Linked DNA regions of Macaca mulatta. The main gene of each other region encodes a partner of the protein of the gene in region 2 in a complex. Links are inferred from orthologs where the notes say so. Each region holds a gene or a part of one and is shown on either strand. Other genes may lie near its edges.

Region 1 (7,952 bases), on a different chromosome or scaffold from region 2:
GGTTGGGAAAAAGAATGAACTGCCAGTGACATTCCCCAGCGACCTCTCCCAAACTTCCCATGATGCCTTGCCCTTGCTGTCATGACAACCTCTGGCTTCCTGAGACCGATCTGCCTATCCAAATAATGTGGAAGTCAGTGTGATGAAGTATAGAGAACAGGTGGCCCAGATCCAGGGGACCCAACTTCTAGCCCCTTGGTCTGTCACCCCCTCGCTGTGTGATCTTGAGAAAGCCCCTTCCACTCTCCCACCCCACTTCCCAGTCTGTTGGGATCAGAGGATCTTTGAGGTGTCTGCCAGCTAACATCGTGTCATTCCTGGAATCCACAGTACACGTCCCCCGTCCTCGACAGGCACAGCTCTCACAAAGCTCTTTAAGCATGGAAGTGGGAGTTGTGTCGTACTTCATGGCCCTCTGATGCCTGCTGTCTCAGTGTTTGCAAACAAGTAATGTTTGAAATATATAATTGCACCTGGAGATTTTCTCCCTACTTTCTTTTACTCCTGTTCCTGAGAGGTGGTGGGAAACTCTCCAGCCATTTCTGCACCTTGTCCTTAAGAGTCATTCTCCTGACTGGGCGTGGTGGCTCACACCTGTAATCCCAGTACTTTGAGAGGCCAAGGCGGGCAGATCTCGAGGTCAGGAGTTGAGACCAGCCTGGCCAACATGGTGAAACCCTGTCTCTACTAAAAATACAAAAATTAGCTGGGTGTGGTGGCGGCGCCTGTGGTCCCAGCTGCTCAGGAGGCTGAGGCAGGAGAATGGCTTGAACCCAGGAGGCGGAGGTTGCAGTGAGCCGAGATCGCGCCACTCACTCCCGCCTGGGAGACACAGCGAGACGGTCTTGGGGGGAAAAAAAAAAAGTCATTCTCCCAGATTAGGGAGCCAGATGTTCTCCCTCCTTAGAAGAACTGTGGGTCTCAAGCCCTCCCATCCTGCCCCAGAGAGCAGGGAACACACCATGCTCAGCTAGTGTCTGGTTACCAGCCTCAATTTTTCCGATGGCTTCAAGCTTCTAGATTGCATGATTATCTGTGTTGCCTAATTAGAAATGATCAGATCTGGGTGTGGTGGCTCACACCAGTAATCCCAGCACTTTGGGAGGCAGAAGCAGGAGAACTGCTTGAGACCAGGAGTTCAGGACCAGCCTGGGAAACAAAATGCAATGCCATTTCAACCATAAAACACAAAACAAAACAAAATTGTGGCTGGGCACGGTGGCTCATGCCTGTAATCCCAGCACTTTGGGAGGCTGAGGCAGGCAGATCACAAGGTCAGGAGATCAAGACCATCCTGACCAACATGGTGAAACTCCATTTCTACTAAAATACAAAAAACTAGCCAGGCATGGTGGCGCACATCTGTAATCCCAGCTGCTCGGGAGGATGAGGCAGGGGAATCACTTGAACCCGGGAGGTGGACGTTGCAGTGAGCCGAGATCACGCCACTGCACTCCAGCCTGGTGACAAAGTAAGACTCTGTCTCAAAAACAAAAACAAAAAAACCTGTTTTTAATTAGCTGCGCATAGTGTCATGGGCCTGTAATCCCAGCTACTTGGGAGACCCAGGGAGGAAGCTCGATCACTTGGCCCAATAGGTCGAGGTTGCAGTGACAGCTAGTATCATGCCACTGCACTCCAGCCTGGGCAAGAGTGAGGCCCTGTCTCAAAATAATAAATAAATAAATCAGAAATTTAGCTAGGAGCTTCAAATGACAAGACATTTGTATATACAGTGGATTTCCTAATCATGGGTCCACTAACTTGCTGGACCATAGTCTTAGTTTCGTATGCCTGACCCTCTAAAATGAGGGATGAGTCCAGGTAGCTCATTCCATGGCAGGCAGCAGTCTTTTTTTATTTTTGAGACAGGTTCTCGCTATGCTGCCCAGGCTGGTCTCATCTCAGGCTCATGCGATCCTCCTTCCTCTGCAGTGGCTTGGATTAGACACAACTGCCACCACGCCTGCTCCTAGGCAGTAGTCTTAATGCCTGATGATGGGGGGTTGGGGAAGGAAGGAAAGTATCAGGGTAAATCTTGCAGAGCTGTGTTAAGGACTTAGGCCCTGGAATCAAATGCCTCTGCTCACATCCCACTCTGCAAGACTTTGGGCAACTTAAGCAGCAGCCTCTGTTTCCATCGGAGTGGCTCTTGCCTCTAATCCCAGCATTTTGGGAGGCTGAGGCAGGACGATCACTCGGACCCAAGAGTTCGAGACTACCCCATCTCTACAAAAAAATCCAAAAAGTAATCTGCTTGCTCATGCGGATGTGGTTGTAAGGAGTAAGCGAAATAACACGCAGAGTGCAATGAGCAAGTCCCAGCACAAAATACTCATTTCATAAAATACGTGTTTATTATTGCCATAGGCCTACAGTCCCCGGTATTCTCAATATATCTTGCCTGAGAAGTATCACACTCATGCCTATTAACCAGCTCATACATTTTTTTAATCAAAAGAATTTGGCAGTTGTAGGGTTGTCTTTTCATTCACATCGTCCCTGGAATTAAGTGTCCTGCTACACCAGTGCAGATTCAGCAGCATCTGTCAAGAGTGTCAGTTCCATCTGCAGAGGAAAGGCTCTCTGGCTTCGGTCCGTGGCTCTCCGCGGGTGCGGTGTCTGGACCCAGCCTATCTTCATCTCTGTTAGGCTTCGGGGTCTTTCTCCACACGGTGTCTTGTCCAATCAAAGGACTTCAGCGGAGCCTGCGGTCTGGCCTAGGCTCTTCTGCGTGGGATGTCTGCAGGCCAACAATCCGAGTCGGGGTTCGAAGCCGCGCGCAGTGCCCGGAACGACCCCTCCACGTCGAGGCCAGTGTAGAGCCCGGAAGGCAAAGTAAAGGCCTCGGCCCCGCACAGCCCAGGCTTAAATGTTTGCGCCAGGGCCCCTCTGGCTACCTGGTGGTGGCCCCGAACGGCCACGGAGGCCGCGGCGTAGCTCCTGGGTGAAGGTGTCTCTGAATCGCCCAGCGCGGCGGCACAGGGAGCCTGCGGGGCCAGCCGCGAGGTCCTGCAGGCGGCGGGCCGCGTCCTGGCCCCGCAGCTGGGCCTGCAGCAGAGCGAAGGCCGTGAGCTGCGCCGCACGTCGGATAGGCCGAGACTCGGACAGGCGTTCCACCAGCTGCGGGCTGTGCAGCAGGGCCGCCAGCAGCCGCCGAAGCACCATCTTCCCCAAGCGCCCGGGAATCCGACCTCGCCGCCCTAGTCTTCCGCCCGGCGGCGCCCGACCCGGACGTCATCTGCGCCCGCGCAGCTTGATGACGACACTGCCGCCCTCGGATTGGGTCCAATGAGATGCGCGCTTCCGCGCGTTTCCGCTTCCGCCACGGCAGACGCCACCTCGTGCCGGGAATCGCCGCGTCCTCGTCCGCTTCTCTGCGCTATGTCGGGTGGCCTCCTGAAGGCGCTGCGCAGCGACTCCTACGTGGAGCTGAGCCAGTACCGGGACCAGCACTTCCGGGTGAGGGAGGCCGGGCCGCGAGAGGGGAAGGCCCTGGGCCAGAACGCTGAGAAACGGTTTGCTCTTGTCTCATTGTGTCGCCTCCCGTTCTGCTGCAATCCCCAAACGCCAAGTGGGGCCCCGGTGCCGGCTGGGGAGGCAGGGAGCGGGTGCTGGGGGGGCGCTTGGACATCACTGAAGCCGCTGGCTCTGGAAGACAGGGCATTTGAGGCTCGCTTTCCTGTTCCCTCCAGCCGCTCCCTGCACCCGAGCCGGTGCCGAGAGGCCTGAGCGCTGATGGTAGTGGCGGCTCCCGTTTCCAGGTTGTACCTCGCAGATGGCTGCGTAACAAGGGCGGGGTGCCCTTCTCTCTCCCAGAGTGTGCAGAGGCGCCTTCTTGATGCAGATTCGGGGCTTTTTACGTTCTTTTTTATTTTTTTTATTTATTTTATTTATTTTTTTTTTTTTTGAGACGGAGTCTCGCTCTGTAGCCCAGGCTGGAGTGCAGTGGCCGGGTCTCAGCTCACTGCAAGCTCCGCCTCCCGGGTTTATGCCATTCTCCTGCCTCAGCCTCCCGAGTAGCTGGGACTACAGGCGCCCACCACCTCGCCCGGCTAGTTTTTCTGTATTTCTTAGTAGAGACGGGGTTTCACTGTGTTAGCCAGGATGGTCTCCATCTCCTGACCTCGTGATCCGCCCATCTCGGCCTCCCAAAGTGCTGGGATTACAGGTGTGAGCCACCGCGCCCGGCCTACGTTCTTTTTTAAATCGGCGAAGCAGTGCCCTTCTCTGGGAGGATGGTCTTAGGGAAGCTGTACGCGGTGCGTGGGAGACACAAGTGAAGTCCTCACTCCGCCCTCGGGGAGGCTTCGGAGTGGGGAGGGGGACCCGCCAAGCTGGGCACTTTGAGGGTGTTTGGATGTGAAGATCGGAGAATTGCTGGATTTCAGAAGAGAGAAATTTTTAGTCCGGACTATATCACAGTATGTTTTGTGGAAAAAGGGGAGGCCGCAGATATACAAAGTAGGCTTTTCAGTATCAGCAAAGGTAGGGATGGAATACGGTTGAGGGGTGGCGGCGCGGGACTCATTAACCCGGTTATTTAGTAAACATTTGTTGAGTGCTGTCACCAAAGCCTTGTGCTAAACCCTGGGGGGAAGGGAAGACAGTTTCTGTACTCTGCGAGCTCATAATCCCCTGTAGTGTGGATTATCAAAGAATCTAAGGTGGAAGTGAGTTAAAAGAGAGGCTGTGAGAATTCAGAAAAAGGGGAGAAATCCCCTTGTGACTGGGAAATGAGGGGGCGCATATAGCAGAGGTCAGTGTGGAGAACGTGTGAAATATGTTACTAGAGTAGGGAAAAGGAAACTTTGACGCCAAATTAGGGAAGCTCTGAAATTTATTCAGTCGAGGCCGGGCACGGTGACTCATGCCTGTAATCCCAGCACTTTGGGAGGCTGAGGCGGGTGGATCACGAGGTTAGGAGATCGAGACCAGACTGGCCGAGATGGTGAAACCCCATCCCTACTAAAAATACAAAAATTAGCCGGGCGTGGTGGCGGCGCCTGTAATCCCAGCTACTCGGAAGGCTGAGGCAGGAGAATTGCTTGATCCCGGAAGGTGGAGGTTGCGGTGAGCCAAGATCGCGCCACCGCACTCCAGCCTGGGCAACAGAGCGAGATTCCTACTTAAAAAAAAAAAAAAAAAAAAAATTCGGTCAATTTATTTTATTTTTTGAGACAGAATCTCGCTCTATTGCCTAGGCTGAAGTGCAGTGGCGCAATCACGGCTCATGCAGCCTCAACCTCCTGAGCCCAAGTGATCCTCCCCACCTCAGCCTCCTGAGAAGCTGGGACCACAGGCTCTCACACTACATCCGGCTAATTTTTTGTAGAGACAGGGTCTCCCTGAGTTGCTCAGGCCGGTCTCAAACTCTGGGACTCAAGCGATCCACCAGCCTGGGCTTCCCAAAGTGCTGGGATTACAGACGTGAACCACTGACCCCGGCCAGTCCAGGTTTTAGATGCTTAAGTGCCAGGCATGATTTGCACTTTTTTTGAGACGGGGTCTGGCTCTGTCACCCAGGCTGGAGTGCAGTAGCACGATCTCGGCTCACTGCAAGCTCCGCCTCCCGGGTTCACGCCATTCTCCTGGCGAGCTGGGACTACAGGCCCCGCCACCACGCCCGGCTAATATTTTTGTTTTTGTTTTTGTTTTTGTTTTTTAGTAGAGACGGGGTTTCACCGTGTTAGCCAGGATGGTCTCGATCTCCTGACCTCGTGATCCGCTCGCCTCGGCCTCCCAAAGTGCTGGGATTACAGGCGTGAGCCGCTGTGCGCGACCCTGATGAGCCATTTTGGATCCAGGGATTTGTCAGGTGTGTTGGATGAAGCCCAGTTATATTCTTATTTCTGGCTTCATCGTGTCATCCCAGTTTGGAAGCCCATTAGGAAAGTGAGCTCTGTTTTGTTTTTAGTGATCACTACATTTTTTTCCTCAATTCAGAAAAAATACATGAGCATGTAAAGCATCAGAGTTGTTGCTTTAAACAGTCTCTATGGGGTTATTAAAAGGGGACTCTCTGGAAATCCACTTATTTCTCACTACAGAGTATAAAAGGGCCCTTTGTCATACATGGGTCAAGGTCCAGAGTTTAACCTTGGTTGAAAGGATGCACTGCTGAGAAGATGGCGTGTGCAGGGAAAAAAGCCGCTTGTGTGGCAGTCTGGCGTAGGGTGACTTTGCTGTATGCGGTATAACTTTTGAGCCTTGTCTCTACTAAGAGTCTGGACTTTGCATAAGTGCTTCACAGGATGTGAACATCTCCCTTTTTTTGAGCAAGGGATTTGTGGTAGGCTGGGATGAGAGAATTTGATTTCCAAATCAGAATTAATGAATGTTTCTACCATACTTAGAAATACTATTTAAGCAAGGCTCTGAAGTTGCTTTTGTCTCTCTTTGAAATTCTAGGGTGACAATGAAGAACAAGAAAAATTACTGAAGAAAAGCTGTACGTTATATGTTGGAAATCTTTCTTTTTACACAACCGAAGAACAAATCTACGAACTCTTCAGCAAAAGTGGTGACATAAAGAAAATCATTATGGGTCTGGATAAAATGAAGAAAACAGCATGTGGATTCTGTTTTGTGGAGTATCCTTCCTGTGGATGGAATGTGGCTGCTGAACTGGGGTAGAGCTGAGAATAGTAGCTCATAATCCTCCCTGCACTTGCCCCTACGTTTTCCCTCGTCTCCCTCCTACCTTCTGTCCAGTGTCACTGCTCTTTTTTTTTTTTGAGACAGAGTCTGGCTCTGTCGCCCAGGCTGGAGCGCAGTGGCCGGATCTGAGCTCACTGCAAGCTCCGCCTCCCGAGCTTACACCATTCTCCTGCCTCAGCCTCCGGAGTAGCTAGGACTGCAGGCGCCCGCCACGTCGCCCGGCTAGTTTTTGTATTTTTTTTTTTTTTTAGTAGAGACGGGGTTTCAACGTGTTAGCCAGGATGGTCTCGATCTCCTGACCTCATGATCCGCCCATCTCGGCCTCCCAAAGTGCTGGGATTACAGGCTTGAGCCACCGCGCCCGGCCGTCACTGCTCTTATACTATAAAGCTGACACTAGTTACATTCTCTCCTGAAATCCATGCTTTATGGTTGTTTAAGAAAAAGTTTTTCAGGCCGGGCGCGGTGGCTCAAGCCTGTAATCCCAGCACTTTGGGAGGCCGAGACGGGCGGATCACGAGGTCAGGAGATCGAGACCATCCTGGCTAACACGGCGAAACCCCGTCTCTACTAAAAAATACAAAAAAAACTAGCCGGGTGAGGTGGCGGGCGCCTGTAGTCCCAGCTACTCGGGAGGCTGAGGCAGGAGAATGGCGTGAACCCGGGAGGCGGAGCTTGCAGTGAGCTGAGATCTGGCCACTGCACTCCAGCCTGGGCGACAGAGCGAGACTCCGTCTCCAAAAAAAAAAGAAAAAGTTTTTCAAGAATGTTTGCCCTTCATTAAAAAAAAAAAAAAAATTCCAAAGAGCACAGTGAAAATAAAAAAACCTTGTACTGTTCTAAACCCCTAATTCCCTTTGCCAGAGGCAGTTACCAGTTTCTTGAGCATCTCTCAAGAAGTAACCTGTGGGTGTGCAGTAGTGTACTTCATGTGCTGTTTTTAAAATCATTTATTATTTATTTATTGTTCCATTTCAGCACATGTAGGTCTGTTTTCAAAATAGCCGTATAGCTGGGCATGGTGGCTCGTATTTGTAGTGCCAGCTACTCAGGAGGCTGAGGCTGGAGGATCAGTTGAGCCCAAGGGTCCAAGGCTACACTGAGTTGTACTGTGCTCCTGCCAGGGTGACAGGGCAAGACCCCATCTTTAAAGAAAAAAATGTTTTAATAGCTATATCGTAATTCATTACATAGGTGTGTATAAGCTGATTGTATAGGTACAAACCAAAACTATTTACTTGTGATCATTTTCTTACTCAGACTCTTTTAAGCATTGTACCTCCTGGATTTAT
Region 2 (7,897 bases):
AAGGTGAGGGACTGTGTGTGGACATGGCCTAACCTTTCACAGACTGTGCACTCTGAGAAGATCTGGGGTGAGTGTGAGCGAATGGGAAAGTTTTTCTGGCCCGTATCTAGAGATATATCACCCACCTCACAGTGTAGCTTCGAGAGGTGGGCTTTCCCAAGCCCTGGTGTGGACCTTCTGTCTTTTCTATGCAATCGGCCATGGGATTGTCTTCCTTTCCAATGGCTTTTAGTACCACCTAAGGGCTGATGATCCCCAAGTTTGTTTTTCCAGTTCTATCCAGTGTCATACTGATAAACTTCAGATACCCAAAGTTGGAGCTATCATCTTTCTATTCTTGATCTTCCAAGTAAGATTGACTACACCAATTCTGCCACGCGTTTGGACTCAAAATCTCATCTCTGACTTCTCCGCTATTTGCATAGTCAAGCGTTTGCCAAGTCTTCTTGTTTTTTCTTTTGAAGCAATTTTTCCTGTTTATTCTTCATTGTGTATTCCCCCGAGCAGGGCTTTATTGACATTTACATGAGCGATTGTAATGGTCTCTCAACAAATTTCTCAGTCTTTTTTTTTTTTTTTAACAGACTTCTTCACTCTTGGTCAAACGATCCATTGAAAACACAAAATTCTGCTCCCTCTGTTTCTCAAAAACCATAAATGGCTTCACATTGTCTATATAACAAAGCCCCAAAACCTTAGTTTGGCAGCCTTGTCTAGTAAAGTAGAACTATTCACTACTCCCAAAACATGCATTCCCAAAGCGTTCTTACCGCTGCATGTTTGCCATCCTGTCTTCTTTTTCTAAAATACCCTTCTTCTCTCTGTGTCGTGCAGAGATACGGGGGAGGGCCTAGTTTAATAGCCATTAAACATCAGAAAATCTTACTAGCTTTCAGCTATGAATAATCTGCACCTCTTACCGCGTTGCTAACTCACTCAGTTTATTTTTATTTCTCAGACTATAAGCTTCTTGAGGGTAGAAACAATGCTTTATCCTCCTGGATATCCCTGTTACAAAGTCATGTCTGGGCCTTATTCAATATGCAGGAAATAGATGGATGAAGCCTCCAGGAAAGGCACATAGACTTATACTTACTTGCAGCTTATATCCTAGGATTCTAGTCCATGATCAAATTCTTTGTCTTCAACCTCAAAAATGTAACACTCTGGAAAACCTCTGGGTTCCGTGGTTTGGTTAGATTAGGAATTTCCGGCATCATTCATGATCTAGGGGACCAGAGGCAAGAGGCAGAGCACATCAATGCACCACTCTAAAGACATCAAGAAAGATGGTCCCTGGAGTGATGTGCCCAGGGGTCTTGGGAGAGGAACCGGCTAGGGGCTGGCCCTCACTGACCTCTCTCCTCTCACCCTTGTTCCCAGAAAAAGGCATTGCTGGCTCTGAAGAAGCAAAGTAGCAGCAGCACAACCAGCCAAGGCGGTGTCAAACGCTGTGAGTGACAGGGGAAATGGGGATGGACTGGAAGTGGGCAGCATGGGGCTGACCTTCATCATGGCCTGGTCAACATAATGCCTCTTCCCCTTATCACTCCAGCACTATCAGAGCAGCCTGTCGTGGACACAGCCACAGCAACAGAGCAGGCAAAGCAGCTGGTGAAATCAGGAGCCATCAGTGCCATCAAGGCTGAGACCAAGAACTCAGGCTTCAAGCGTTCTCGAACCCTTGAGGGGAAGTTAAAGGTGAGCACAAACAGAAGGATTGTTTAGAGGGCATCCCTCCAAGTTGGAATGTAGATGGGTTTGGGGAAAAATATGCATACTCGAGCACTGGCAAATTGCTGTACCATTCTGAGTTTTGCCTCTCAAATATTAAATGAAAAAACTAGATGACTCCTGAATTCTCCATTTTACAAATTTTGTAGTTCTAATCCACTTTGGATTGGAGCTCTTGGAATATGTCGCTCTAAGGGATGGAAAGGGCAGAAAATGTTATCAGATTCAAGAGAGGTTGAAATAAACTGAACATATAACATATCAAGTCACTTATAAAAAGTATCAGCCAGGCGTGGTGGCTCATGCCTATAATCCCAGCACTTTGGGAGGCCAAGGTGGGCAGATCACTTGAGGTTAGGAGTTTGAGACCAACCTGGCCAACATGGTGAAACCCGTCTCTACTAAACATAACAAAAATTCGCAGGGCATGGTGATGCACGCCTATAGTCCCAGTTACTGAGGAGTCTGAGGCCAGAGAATTGCTTGAACCCAGGAGGCACAGGTTGCAGTGAGTGGAGATCGCACCACTGTACTCCACCCTGGGCGACAGAGCAAGACTCTATCTCAAAACAAAACCAAAAAGCTGCAATGGCAGGTGTGGCAGTGGCTCATTCCTATAATTAGAGCACTTTAGGAGGCCAAGGTAGGAGGATTGCTTGAGCCCAGGAATTTGAGACCAGCCCTGGCAACATAGTGAAACCCTATCTCTACAAAAAAAAAAAAACAAAAACAAAACAGAAATTAGCCAAGCATGGTAGAGCGCATCTCTAGTCTCAGCTACTAGGGAGGCTAAGGTAGGAGGATTGCTTGAGCCTGGGAGGTCAAGGCTGCAGCAAGCTATGATTGCACCATTGCACTCCAACCTGGACAACAGAGCAAGACCCTGTCTCAAAAAATAAAAACAAATAAATAAAACCACATAGTCAAATAAGAAATGTATATAGTGTTAAAAGGAAAGAAGAGATCAGAGGAGATCTAGAAGAGGGTGAGGGAAGAGGAACATCTCTGTTCCATGGTTGGGCAGCCTCCTGCTCCACACTGAGGTAGGTCTCTCCCCTCTCCAGGACCCCGAGAAGGGACCAGTCCCCACTTTCCAGCCGTTCCAGAGGAGCATATCTGCTGATGATGACCTGCAAGAGGTAAAGGCTTCTAATTTCTGTCCCTGAGGGGTTGGGGATGGAGGAACATGAGAAACTAACTTATTTTGGACTACATGTTAGCAACTGGGAATCATCTTAACTGTTCTTGGTCTCTTTTACAGTCATCTAGACGTCCCCAGAGGAAATCTCTGTATGAGAGGTTAGAGAGTAGAGATAAGACTGGGCCCACTTGGCGGGGTTGATTGCCTGAGTCCTTGGGAGGTTTGGGCTGTAGAAGCTGTGCTATTGAGGGAATATTGAGTCTCCACAGGGTCCAAGGGGAGAAGGTAAAACCCCCCTTTGATCTTCAGTCTGCATCTCCCCAGCTTTGTGTCTTCTAGTGATCGACTTCGAGAACTAGGGCCAGATGGAGAAGAGGCAGAGGGCCCAGGGGCTGGTGATGGTCCCCCTCGAAGCTTTGACTGGGGCTATGAAGAACGCAGTGGTGCCCACTCCTCAGCCTCCCCTCCCCGAAGCCGCAGCCGGGACCGCAGCCATGAGAGGAACCGGGACAGAGACCGAGATCGGGAGCGGGATCGAGACAGAGACCGAGAGCGGGACAGGGATCGGGATCGGGATCGGGATCGAGATCGAGATCGAGATCGAGACCGGGAACGGGACAGGGATCGGGAGCGGGATCGAGACCGAGACCGAGAGGGTCCTTTCCGCAGTGAGTGATCTTGGCTGGAGGTCAAGGTGACCTTAACTGAGGTTTATGTGGGTCCTACTAAGTGAAGTGTGGGATGGACCATGTCTTGTGACTGTGATTCCTGCTCCCAAAGGGTCGGACTCCTTCCCTGAACGGCGAGCCCCTAGGAAAGGGAATACTCTCTATGTATACGGAGAAGACATGACGCCTACCCTTCTCCGTGGGGCCTTCTCTCCTTTTGGAAACATCATTGACCTCTCCATGGACCCACCCAGAAAGTAAGGATGACGACAGGGCATGATGAGAAGTCCTGGGCGAATCCTGGGGTGTGAGACTTGAGGGAGGAAGCTGCCCTCCCGGCAGCCGCCTGTGATCGCTGGGTTTGGTTGGGTCCAGAAGAGCCCCTTGGCTCTCCACTGACCCTGTTTTTTCTTATCCCAGCTGTGCCTTCGTCACCTATGAAAAGATGGAGTCAGCAGATCAGGCCGTTGCTGAGGTTGGAACTTCGCAAATCTGTTCTTCCCATCGCCTCTGCTGTTCTCATGTGTTCTCATCAAAATACTAGATGCCAGGAAGAAGTTGGTTCCTCTTGATAAAGTCTCTCCCTATTCACACAGAAAAACTTACATTCTCAGATTCCTTATTCAGTCTACTCCTAGGATAGCAACTCCTGGAATAGCTTCTTTGGTGTATCTGTAATGTTTTCCTCCCCATCCTCTGCCTCCCCTCTTCTGCTTTAGCTCAACGGGACCCAGGTGGAGTCTGTACAGCTCAAAGTCAACATAGCCCGGAAACAGCCCATGCTGGATGCCGCTACTGGCAAGTCTGTCTGGGGCTCCCTCGGTAAGAATGGGATTTTCTTTCCCGTCCTCTCCCCTACAGCACACTCCTTTTGGTTCCCCCACACATCCTTGGGTTTCCTAGAGATTATCGAGGTCAGAGTGTGTGCAGAGGCTGTGGGAATGGGAAGGAAAATTTCAGATCATCTGTTAGTTAGAGGTAAAGAAAGGAGAGAAAAGGATTGAGAACAGCTTCCAAAGCAGCGACTGGAACAGGGAAGAAAATGGGAGCTGGAGTGAGATTGGTGAGAAAGATGAGTGTCTCATGGGGCTTGTTCATTTTGAGATGGAGTAGAGTGAATTTCGTAAGTATTTGAAATTAGGGGTCTGGAACTCAGGTGTGAGGTAAGGAATGAAAACATAGATTAAGTCATCTGCATCACAGGGTGGCTCCCCGATCATGAGGGAGACTGATTTCGGAGAAAAAAAACGACCCAGGACTAGACTTGAGGAATACTCAGGGACTATGTTAGGAAACAGGACTGTCCACCTTACGCCCCACGTGTCTCCAGCTCTCCTGACACGTTAGGCTAACGTTGAGCCTAACGTTAGCAAAGGAGACAGGAGGAGGGGTCAGAGGGCTGGGAGCAGCACCAGAGGGGCCTGGGCCACTGAAGCGAAAGGACACATGCTTTGAGAAAGAGGGAGTAGCCAGCAGTGTCAAGGTACAGAGATCACAGGATGAGAAGTGGGTGGGAGAGATTCTCTCTAGGTCAAGGGTGGTGGGGATGGAATCTTTGGATGGGGTGAAGAGAGTAACATGTCTGGTGGAGGGAGGAAAAGAGGAAGGGGAAGAAACAGCTAGAGGCTTGAGAGAGAATGGTGAGGGCCAAAGCTACATGCTGGATGAGTTCTGGTGGAGCTAGTAGCATTCCTTAGTATGAGTAACCCATTTACCTGAAAGTAGATTTTCCTGGGAAGGGAGTGAGCAGAAAGAAGGACTCAGAGCAACAGTGGCCTTTCAGGCAAAAGAAAGGAACTAGAGTTGACCAGCATGTCAATAAAGGGCTACAGAGGTTTTCTAGTTTTTAGCTTCTGACATACTGACTATAAGTAGTGGGTTAATATCATTCATATATCTCAACAATGACATTTGGGATTTTTCTAAGAACAAAACATTCATCAAAATGTCCACTTACACTCTCCTTGGCCATGGGTTGGCACAAAGGAGCTAAGGAAGACAGGCCATCCTGGCCACCAGAGGGCAGCGTGGAAACTGGGTTTCCAGGGGCCAGCAGCCAGGACTGAGGTGGTCAGGAGTCAGCCTCAGGGTCTGATCTATGATCTCCTTTAGACCTTAACTGTTCCTCTTCTCCCTCCCTAGCTGTCCAGAACAGCCCTAAGGGTTGCCACCGGGACAAGAGGACCCAGATTGTCTACAGTGATGACGTCTACAAGGAAAACCTTGTGGATGGCTTCTAGGGAACAGAGCTGGATTCCTTGTGCCTCAAATGCCCCAATGCTGGTCTCAGTAAAACACTGAGGTGGAAGCTTACATATCTCCCTCAGCCTCTGGTTTTTCAGCACTTGGGATTGGGGTTAAGCCTTTAAAAATGGGTGTCAGGTTTGATCTCAGTGTAACAACATGGCCAGTGCCCGTTCCCCACTCCCTTGCCCCAAAAGGATCTGGAACACAAGTGTTGTCGCAGCTGTTTTAATTCAATCCCGCGCCCCTGTCCAGCAGGAAACCCCTTAGAGAAAACCCAAATCCTCATCTTGGAGTTTCTCCTTCAGCCAGGGCAGCACTTGGAAGAGGTTGACGTGAAAGTCTCGGGCGTGAGCAGGTACCTGCTTTTGCCGCTTCTGGTTTTTGCAGACATCCACTACTCCCCAGCTGATGACACCAACCTGCAGAGGCAGTGGGGTGCCATGGATCATTCATAGAATTCCTAATCCTGGAAGCATGACTGTTCCTGATTGTGTCTTAGCTGACCTAAAGGAATCAGGCTAGGGACCCAGCTCAGCCTCATTCTTGACACACACAGGCCAGACATGCAGTCCTAAAGTGAGGCAGGCTCTGCCCACCTCGAATTACTAGCCACATGCATTGTGCTTTCCTGCTTTGGGGCCCATGCTGACCACTTGGCATCTCCCCAGATAGGAAAGGGAGGACTCACTTGAATAAAACGACTTCTCTTGTGAACTATCAAGGGGCCGCCAGAATCACCTGCAAGGAGAGGAGAAGCTGTAGGGAAAAGGACTCTTGGCCCTCGGGCACTTGGAGCACAACCAGAGAGCGTTCTCTCACCTCTGCAAGTATTGGGGTCAGCATAGGGACTCACTCCTCCAGTACAAAGGAACCGAGGGGTGACCACCTCCGAGATGTCCTTGACTTTGTCATAGCCTGGGGCATATTGAGCATCTCTCTCACAGCTGCCTTTCTGTAGGGGAGGTGGGAAGCATGGAGAAAGGTAATGAACAGAGGTGGCTTAGGAAGGATTAGGGCCTAGAGTGCCTCCTTAGGATGCCCATTTCTCACCTTATCCCCATTCTTGATGTAGACCTCCTTCCGAGTCAGCTTCTTCTCCTCCTCAGACACAAACAGAGCTTTGATATCCTGTGCAGGGAGCAGCTCTTCCTCTGGACAAATAGACTGCATCACTTCAGCTGCTCCCACCACTGTCATCTCCCTATTGACTTTGTCACTCAGCAGATGTCCCCTAAGCCCTTCCTAGTGCTAGGTTCTGGGCCAGGCATCGTCTCTTCCTATTGCATCTCCCTCTCATGCCTCACTTGTCTCGGGATCTCATCCTTATCCTCCCCCCTAGTATGTCTTACTCTGTTGCTGGCAAGTGGTAGTTGGAGGAAGCCTCAAAGCTCGAGTTGTTCCCTCGGTGCAGGGGAGACAAATGGGCCTATAAAGGATGGAGAAAGAACAGCAAACTAGGCCTGCTCCTCACCCCAGTCCTCCAGCCTTTCCCAGCCTTTCCTCAGGGATCTGGATGCTCTCACCTGATAGTCGGGTCATAATTCAACTTATTCTTGAGCTTGATCAGGGCAACGTCATAGTCATAAAATTCAGGAATTCCTGCTTCTTTTTTCCCGCTAATGTTGTAGTCGGGGTGAAATAGGACTTTTTCTATCTCCAGGTCCCGCTTCTTCCCTTGAAGTAGGAGAATAGGTACCACCTCTTTGTGGGCAGCTTCTTGCCTCTGGCCCCATGTCATTCCTAACTTCAAGTCTTCCCCATCCCTGACTGGTCTGGGGTGCAAGGGATGGGGCTGCATTGCAGATGAGTGGAGTGTGGGATCTGTAGAAAGTGGGAGGTGTTGCCTGGAGGGCGTAGGTGCAGCCCGGGACCTTCAGTTGCATCCTTACCCACGCTGACCTTGATTGAGTGTTCCTTGTCGTCCACAGTAAAACAATGTGCTGCTGTCAGCACAAAGTACTCAGACACCACAGCCCCCATACAGCTCTCATGTCCCTTCGAAGGGCGCTGGGAACAGAACAGTAGAAAGGGAAAACTCAACTTTCACAAACCACCATCTCTTACGGCCATTTTGCCCTTCCCCTACTCCCATTTCACCTTGACCTCA
Region 3 (7,311 bases), on a different chromosome or scaffold from region 2:
CAGGAAGCTATGGTGAAAGCAGGGGTTAAAAATCCTTGAATGGTAACATATTTCACTTTGTATTTACGATGAAGTTTATATTCTTAAGGAAGGTATTATCACAGAAATGTTAGGATCTCTTTTTATATAAGGGGAAAACACCTGGGATGCTAAGAACAACTAACAGTCTGAACAGGTCAAACAGATACAGATATACTGCTTTAAGCACATCATGTTGCCAGAGTTATGTTTATGCTTTAACTTGGCCTATACATAGTTCCACTCAAGAAATACTGAATTCCACTTACCGTCATCATCATCCTGGTTGGGATTTGGTACATCTTTCAGAATGCTGAAGATTTCATCATTGGTTGCCTTACTTTTAAAGGCAACTGCTAAACAGAGGGCAACAGAATGTCCAGGAAGAGAATCTAAACACAGCATTGGGGGTAAGGGGAATGACAGATCAGGTTTCAAGACTATTCTAACGAATAGTTAAATAACTGAGAAAAAATTTTTTAAATTCTTCCTTTCAAAATAGGATGCTCTTTATCCCAAGGTCAATATTTAATCTGTATAAAAGTACCACATGTGGAAGCTTTTTCTAATAGGTTAATGGTTTTTCACCTAAAAAGGGACAATTCTCATTTCAACAATTCCTTAAGGACACTTAGCTAAGTAAAATTTAGAGTACAAGGTGCTGATCATCCTCAAGATGAATGGTAAGGAGAAGAGTGGACACAGTTAAACTGTCTTTTAATGCCCTCAACTCTCCCGGGCTCAAAAGCCCAGAACCAACGTACTTCTCTTTCATTTTGCCAACACCCATTTCCTCTTTCTTTCCTTGGGACCATGGAAACGAAGTCTCAGCCTCAACAAGGTAATGGCTGCCAAGTTTAGAGAGGTTTTTGTTTTTGTACTTTTCTTTTTTTGCTGAATCCACAAGCTTGAATCTATGTAAGTCAGATGCTCATGTGATAGGACTCCTTGTATTTACTATTGGTATCAGTTAAGTCCTTATTATAAAAATTTGTGCTAATATACACCGTAAGGCATCACCAGAGCAACAAGAAATCTGCTTTTAATGTAAGGTAGACAAAGAGGTAACAAAAAAGGCAATCCTGTCATGGAGTACGAGTTACTGGAATGAATGAAGTAAATTACAACAGTCACGTGAGGATGGTCATATTACACCTGCTGTGAGCTTTTTCTCTAAAAGAAAGAAGGCGAAGAAAAACAGAATCCCCTGTCACCAGTCTACATTCCAGCTGGAGAACCAAGATATTCACATTAGACACAGCCAGGGAGCAATACAAAACTGGCTTACTAAAGGTTAAAAAGTATTTACAGCTATTGAGCTTGGGCTAGAATCTAGAAGGAGAAAAGCAAGTGGAGCTAGAAAGGACTTTCCAGACTGGGGTAATAGCAAAGCCAAGAACAAACAGTATGGAAAAAATAAAAAAGGACATGGACCTGGGAGAAGTAGAGGCCCATGTCGGGAGAAGTGAAAAATAACAAAGTAGGAACAATGGTTATGAAGGCCTTGAAATGTTAGGCTGAGTTATTCCTATGGGGAAAAAGAAAGCTTAATCTTCAACAAAAGTCTGAGCTTTCTGACAGCAAAGACTGTACTTTATCATTCTCGGAACGAGTACAAGACAAAACTCAAAACCTGGCACTTCTAAGTGCTGCATGAACCTTTGATCTGCCAGAAAGCACAGTGGCTAAGGCATGGCCACTCAGCAGTGCACCTACGCCTGAATTTGGGCTCCACCACTCAGAAGCAATCTCATTCTAGTTTGACCTCTTGGAAGCCATTTCCTCATTGTAGTTTTGATAATCATATCTATTTTTCAGAGTTGACATAATTAAATAGGAAATGTACCAGGACCAACACAGTTTATTTCAAAGGAAACAGGTACAATCACAGACAGAGGTGGAGAAACAGGCGTATGGTATGAAAAGCAAGGAACAGCAGATAGTTGTGAGATGCAAAGAACCTCTACACAACATGAAATGGAAGGATCATGGAGGGGCTGTGTTAAGTGTAATCTGCAAAGGATAAGTTGGAAAAAACTCCACACCTAACTCCACCAGTGATCAACAATGTATAATACTCTACCTACATTAAGTGTAAATACTGTGCAAAGGGCAAAATGGCACATCAAATTACACTCCCTGATTTATGGTGCAATTTCAGAGATTATGTGACCAAAAGGTAAGAAAATAATAATTAAGAATTTACTTTTAAAGGCATACTGCCACAGAATATGTACATCTATGTTCTCAATACCACACCTGAAAAAGATAATTAATTCAAGTAATCTCCATCACCATGACAAATACGCATTTGCAGTTTAGTAAGATCTAACTATAAATTCATCTTGCTATACTTAACACATTCAAAAGAGAAAGAAAAGATAAGCCAGTAGTAATTAATTTTATCACAACCAAATCCTCAAAATGATGACAGGGCAAATAAAACAGTGGCTAATGCTAGACTACCCTTCGAATACAGGAAATATAAACCCCAAGAAAAGAAAAAGTTCAATTTCTCCACTTTAAACAACTAATTTAAATATATTTGAACTGGTACCTTTTAAAGACAGAGGGATTTGTTTCGTTACTTACTGCTACTTTCATCTCCATACTTGTAAATGCAGGTTGGGTTTGCAGGACATAGAGCTGAGAAGGTAGGAGGAACAATATCTAATATACGCTGATGGTAAGACAACCTACAATACAAATAACAGCCTCAGAAAATATCTTTTATCAGTCCCATTCTTTGGTAACACCCAACTTACCTAGAAAGTCACAATCTCCAACAACTTGAACTCAGCTGACAACCAAGAGTGAAAGGAAAAAAAATCCTTTGAGTTTTTGTCTAAGGCAGCACACCAAATCTCAGGCATACTGCGGAACTTACTGGCTTGCAACTGAGGTATGGGTGAGTGAGCTCATGAGCCTGGTGGCCAAGGATGTGGGGTGATGATGGGGTGTGGTGAAGATGACAGTCCGTACACTTTGGAGACTGGCTACATTGTATCAAATAAATAAATATTGAGGATAATGGGAGCCAAGTTTCTTACTGCCTGAGAAGGTATTTACAAACCATGGTAGAGAAGAAGTGTAGAAATAAGGTATTGAGTTGGAAATTGAGGCATATATACACACAGGTGGACATAAAAATAGTTATGGATGGATGGATGTGTGTCCACCAAGAGGCTTAGAACCAATGACACCCCAATGGCAATGAGCATATCAAGTGCCCAGATCTTGGCTCCTAAATACCGTATTCCATTAGTCCTTTACTAATTAGTCCTTTACTAACGGAATATGGTATTTAGGAGAAATACGCAAGATGATCCTAAACATGTTGTTCTAGAAAATAAGGAAATGCTCAATGAATGGCGGGGGACATTAAAAACAAAGACAAAAACAAACAAAAAACAGAGAGAGCTTACCGGGACTCCTCATGTACATATCAGGGACAATTTGGGCATCAAAATAAATGATCCTCATAGTTTATAACCCAGCGAATGAAATATAAATTAATTAGTCCCCACTGATATATAAATAAAGGAATAAATAAATGGGGGAGAAAGGACAGCTCTTACAGAAGGCCCATTAATAAATGCAGAAAAAATAATGGAATGAGAAAATCATCACTTGGCAACCATCTTACTGGTAGCTGCTAAAAGCAGGATGGAGATCTGATGAAGAACAGAGTAAGAGTAAAACTTCAAAATATCTCCCACAAAATACTGATCAATTCTACTAAAGAGAAAAATGGTGAGGTTAAGGTAGAGAAAGCTGGCAGATATTGACATGACCAGGTGGATCAAGATTAACATCACCAGGGGTGGGAATCATGTGCCTCTAGATGTGACACACCAAGAGCATTAACAATTTAAGACCTCAATTTGCTCATGAGAAATATCAGAGCAATCCAAGTAAGGTCTAGACTCTTTCAAACTGGTATAAACACAAAGAGAGAAAAATAATAAGTGTTCAAGACTGAAGGAATCTGAGAGAATGACAACTCAACACTACACATATACCTGGATAAGATTCCAGACCAGGCCGGGCGCAGTGGCTCACACCTGTAATCCCAGCACTTTGGGAGGCTCGGGCGGGTGGATCACGAGGTCAGGAGATTGAGACCATCCTGGCTAACACAGTGAAACTCCATCTCTACTAAAACTACAAAAAATTAACCAGGCATGGTGGCGGGCGCCTTTAGTCCCAGCTACTTGGGAGGCTGAGGCAGGAGAATGGCGTGAACATGGGAGGCGGAGCTTGCAGTGAGTGGAGATCGCGCGCCACTGCACTCCAGCCTGGGTGACAGAGTGAGACTCTGTCTCCAAAAAAAAAAAAAAAAAAAAAATTATAGACTAGACAGGAAATACAGACGTTGGGATGGCTGGCAAAATTTCAGCAGCACCTGTGAATTCTGTGGTAGGATTGTACCAGAGCTAATTTCCTGATCTAGAAGGCTGTATGCTTGCTAGGTAGGAGAGTGGTTTTGTTTTGGGAAGATATGTAATGGAACATTAAAGGATAATGGGCTGTTACATCAGCTGGGTATGCAGCTGATTCTCAAAGGAAAACCAACATAACGGGTCTCTAGAGAGAGAGGAAAAGGGAGTGAGCATGAGAGCAAACATGATAAAATGTTAATAGCTACGGAATCTAGGTGAACAGGATACAGAATTCTTGGTACTGTTGTGCCAACTTTTCTATAAATCTGAATTCATTTCATATATAACATCTTTTTTTTTAATTTTATTTTTTTGAGATGAGAGTATCACTCTGTCGGCCAGGCTGCAGTGCAAAGGCGCAATCTTGGCTCAAGCGACTCTCCTGCCTCAGCCTCCCAAGTAGCTGGGATTACAGGTGTGTGCCACCACGCCTAATTTTTATATTTTTAGTAGAGACAGGGTTTCCTCATGTTGGCCATGCTGGTCTGAACTCCGACATCATGCGATCCACCTGCCTTGGCCTCCCAAAGTGCTGGATTAGAGGGGTGAGCCACTGCACCCAGCCTGTAACATCTTTAAAAGAACTTACCAGCTTAAATTCACATGGGATCTGTATGGCATGGTTGCCTAATTTTTTTAGCCTAAATCTTGATTAAAAATGGGATGGAAGATGAGTAAGTAGATTTTGAATCCAATATTCTGAACACATATCACAAGTGCAGAGAAGAGAAAGAAATCCTCCCAAAGAAGTTAAAAGACCTAAACAAAGGAGAAGACACAAAAAACTTACCTCATACATTTTTCTAGAACTTCTCTTACAAACTTTGGTTTGGGACTTTCAGGATCTTGACTAAGACAATCTGACCTAAGGAGGAAATGTAGTTTTATCAATTCTTATGTATCATCTGCACTTACACTCATTTGTACTACAATTATCTGTGAACTTATAACAACTTACAAGTTTTAAGTTACAATTGCACTTGTAACTATTTGTACTTAACTACAAATAGTTTCCAAGAAATTAAATATTTCAGTCACTTTTATGTTACAGTTTTAAAAATTAGCAGTTTTTTGACTACAGAAAAGTAGGATAAAACACACCATCACTTACCAATCTTCCCAGCTCCAACGGAACTGGAAGTTACTCAGATGATGAGAAAACCAATTGATAAACCTATGTAGACAAGGGGTGGTGGGGAGAGAAAAAGGAAGAATGGCTGGGATTTAGAACAGAAACTTATATAAGCCTTCAAACAGATAAAACCCGATTTTACAGAGTTAATGAAAAGCATATTCCCCTACATGCAGCTGTATCTTCTGCAAACTGTCTTTATCCTTTTTAGGTCAATGACAGATACAATTCTAGTATCTGTTTTGTGTGGGCACCTAACGTGTTTATTATTTAATTCTCACAACTTCCAAGGTACGTATTATTTTCCTCATATAAACGATGATGAAACTGAAGAGAAAAAAAAGATGAAATTGTAGGCCAGGTACAGTGGCTCATGCCTGTAATCCCAGCTACCAAGGATGGAGGCTAAGGCAGGCGGATTGCTTGAGCCCACAAGTTCAAGGTTATAATGAGTTATGCTCATCCCACTGCACTCCAGCCTGCGTGACTGACAGAGCAAGACCCTATCTCAAATAAAAAAAAGAAATTGCAGATAGAACATTTTATAAATGGCAGAGCCAAAGTATAGTCTTTGATACCTGACTAGAGAATGAAATTAAAGAAAACCATAGCATGGACATCAAAAAACGTAATGTTACATTAAACAAGTATGAGTCTGGTTATTGTACAAAGGTTATTTTGGGAGGCAAGAAAAAAAACTAAACATGGAAATTCTTAAAAATGTCTTGATCAAATTCCTTTATGAAGTACAGGAAGTAAAAGCTGCTAACTCAGCTCAGCAGTAAAGCAATTACTGTACCTGTCTACACAGGTAGTGTTCATTGTGTCCAAACGCATGTATAGCATTTCAGTTGCCTGTGCAAGCTGTGAATTTAGGATAAGGAAAACTATTCTCCACTTTTACCCCAAATAAGTTGTAATAGACAAGAATAGAAATAAAACATTTCAAGTCTTTATAATGATTAATAATGTTGAACATCTTTTCATACAATCGATCTTGTTTTTGATTTTTTTTTTTTACAGCTTTGAAATATCAGTGATGTATAATTAATCTGACCTCTACACACTCGTGAAATCAAGATAATATTTTCACCGGATCCCAAATTTCCCCATGCTCCTCCATACGCACAGGCATACATTGTTTCATTGTGCTTAGCAGAAATTGCATTTTTTTTTTTTTTAAACAAACAAGGTTTGTGGCAACCCTGCAACAAGCAAGTCTACTGGCACCATTTTTCCAATGGCATATGCTTGCTTCATGTCTGTGTCACATACTGGTAATTCTTACAATAAAGCAAGCTTTTCCATTATTATTAATTGCTGCAATCCCATAATAAAACTTTAAAAAATAAAAAGCTGCTTTCAATGGATGAGCAAAGACAGTGGTTTTTTGAGATGGAATCCACTCCTTGGAACATTGCTGAATGACAACAAAGGATTTAGAATATCATAGAAACCTAGCTAATAAATCAGTGGCAGGGTCTGAGAAGATTAATTCCAACTCTGAAAGTAGTTCTACTGTGGGAAAAATGCTGTATCAAACAGCAAGCATCACATGCTTCAGAGAAATCTTTTGTGAGAGGAAAAGTCAATCTAGGCAACAAATTTCATTGTTGTCTATTTTTGAACTTTCTGACCCAAACAGTGAAGCATGTATCTACATATTTATAGGTACATATGTATTTACAGACATAAAAATACATACATGTAATACACACA

The links.
Region 1: the proteins of NELFE (region 2) and NCBP2 are in contact, whole or in part, in a crystal structure (PDB 5OOB), measured with the Homo sapiens proteins. The link is inferred for Macaca mulatta from reciprocal best matches to the Homo sapiens genes NELFE and NCBP2. Residues at the interface, in NP_002895.3 of Homo sapiens: Lys361, Arg362, Gln364, Ile365, Val366, Tyr367, Asp369, Tyr372; in NP_031388.2 of Homo sapiens: Phe49, Tyr50, Thr51, Thr52, Glu53, Gln55, Lys68, Ile69, Ile70, Met71, Leu73, Lys77, Lys78, Thr79, Ala80, Asp107, Glu121, Gln124.
Region 3: the proteins of NELFE (region 2) and NCBP1 are in contact, whole or in part, in a crystal structure (PDB 5OOB), measured with the Homo sapiens proteins. The link is inferred for Macaca mulatta from reciprocal best matches to the Homo sapiens genes NELFE and NCBP1. Residues at the interface, in NP_002895.3 of Homo sapiens: Arg362, Ile365, Val366, Tyr367, Ser368, Asp370, Val371, Tyr372, Gly379, Phe380; in NP_002477.1 of Homo sapiens: Tyr461, Lys511, Lys557, Ser558, Ser560, His561, Ser564, Lys568, Ile609, Arg610, Gln612, Cys616, Lys647, Met648, His651, Glu705.

Annotation. Positions count from the first base shown.
Region 1 is NC_133407.1:2,487,729-2,495,680, reverse strand, and holds the start of NCBP2 (nuclear cap-binding protein subunit 2), read left to right. Parts: upstream 1-3,336; 5' UTR 3,337-3,384; coding exon 3,385-3,462; exon of another isoform or gene 3,463-4,488; intron 4,489-5,668; exon of another isoform or gene 5,669-5,818; intron 5,819-6,411; coding exon 6,412-6,593; exon of another isoform or gene 6,594-6,632; intron 6,633-7,952. Other genes in the region: protein NCBP2AS2, read right to left, coding at 2,869-3,168. UniProt on the Homo sapiens protein: Component of the cap-binding complex (CBC), which binds co-transcriptionally to the 5' cap of pre-mRNAs and is involved in various processes such as pre-mRNA splicing, translation regulation, nonsense-mediated mRNA decay, RNA-mediated gene silencing (RNAi) by microRNAs (miRNAs) and mRNA export.
Region 2 is NC_133409.1:150,354,018-150,361,914, forward strand, and holds the end of NELFE (negative elongation factor E), read left to right. Parts: coding exon 1-3; intron 4-1,383; coding exon 1,384-1,453; intron 1,454-1,555; coding exon 1,556-1,701; intron 1,702-2,798; coding exon 2,799-2,873; intron 2,874-2,995; coding exon 2,996-3,033; intron 3,034-3,199; coding exon 3,200-3,543; intron 3,544-3,655; coding exon 3,656-3,800; intron 3,801-3,963; coding exon 3,964-4,018; intron 4,019-4,262; coding exon 4,263-4,365; intron 4,366-5,685; coding exon 5,686-5,783; 3' UTR 5,784-5,998; downstream 5,999-7,897. Other genes in the region: CFB (complement factor B), read right to left, coding at 6,054-6,209, 6,479-6,528, 6,610-6,742, 6,841-6,941, 7,140-7,216, 7,314-7,464, 7,662-7,797. UniProt on the Homo sapiens protein: Essential component of the NELF complex, a complex that negatively regulates the elongation of transcription by RNA polymerase II.
Region 3 is NC_133420.1:60,742,407-60,749,717, forward strand, and holds part of NCBP1 (nuclear cap-binding protein subunit 1), read right to left. Parts: intron 6,457-7,311; coding exon 6,392-6,456; intron 5,635-6,391; coding exon 5,572-5,634; intron 5,326-5,571; coding exon 5,251-5,325; intron 2,715-5,250; coding exon 2,611-2,714; intron 411-2,610; coding exon 288-410; intron 1-287. UniProt on the Homo sapiens protein: Component of the cap-binding complex (CBC), which binds cotranscriptionally to the 5'-cap of pre-mRNAs and is involved in various processes such as pre-mRNA splicing, translation regulation, nonsense-mediated mRNA decay, RNA-mediated gene silencing (RNAi) by microRNAs (miRNAs) and mRNA export.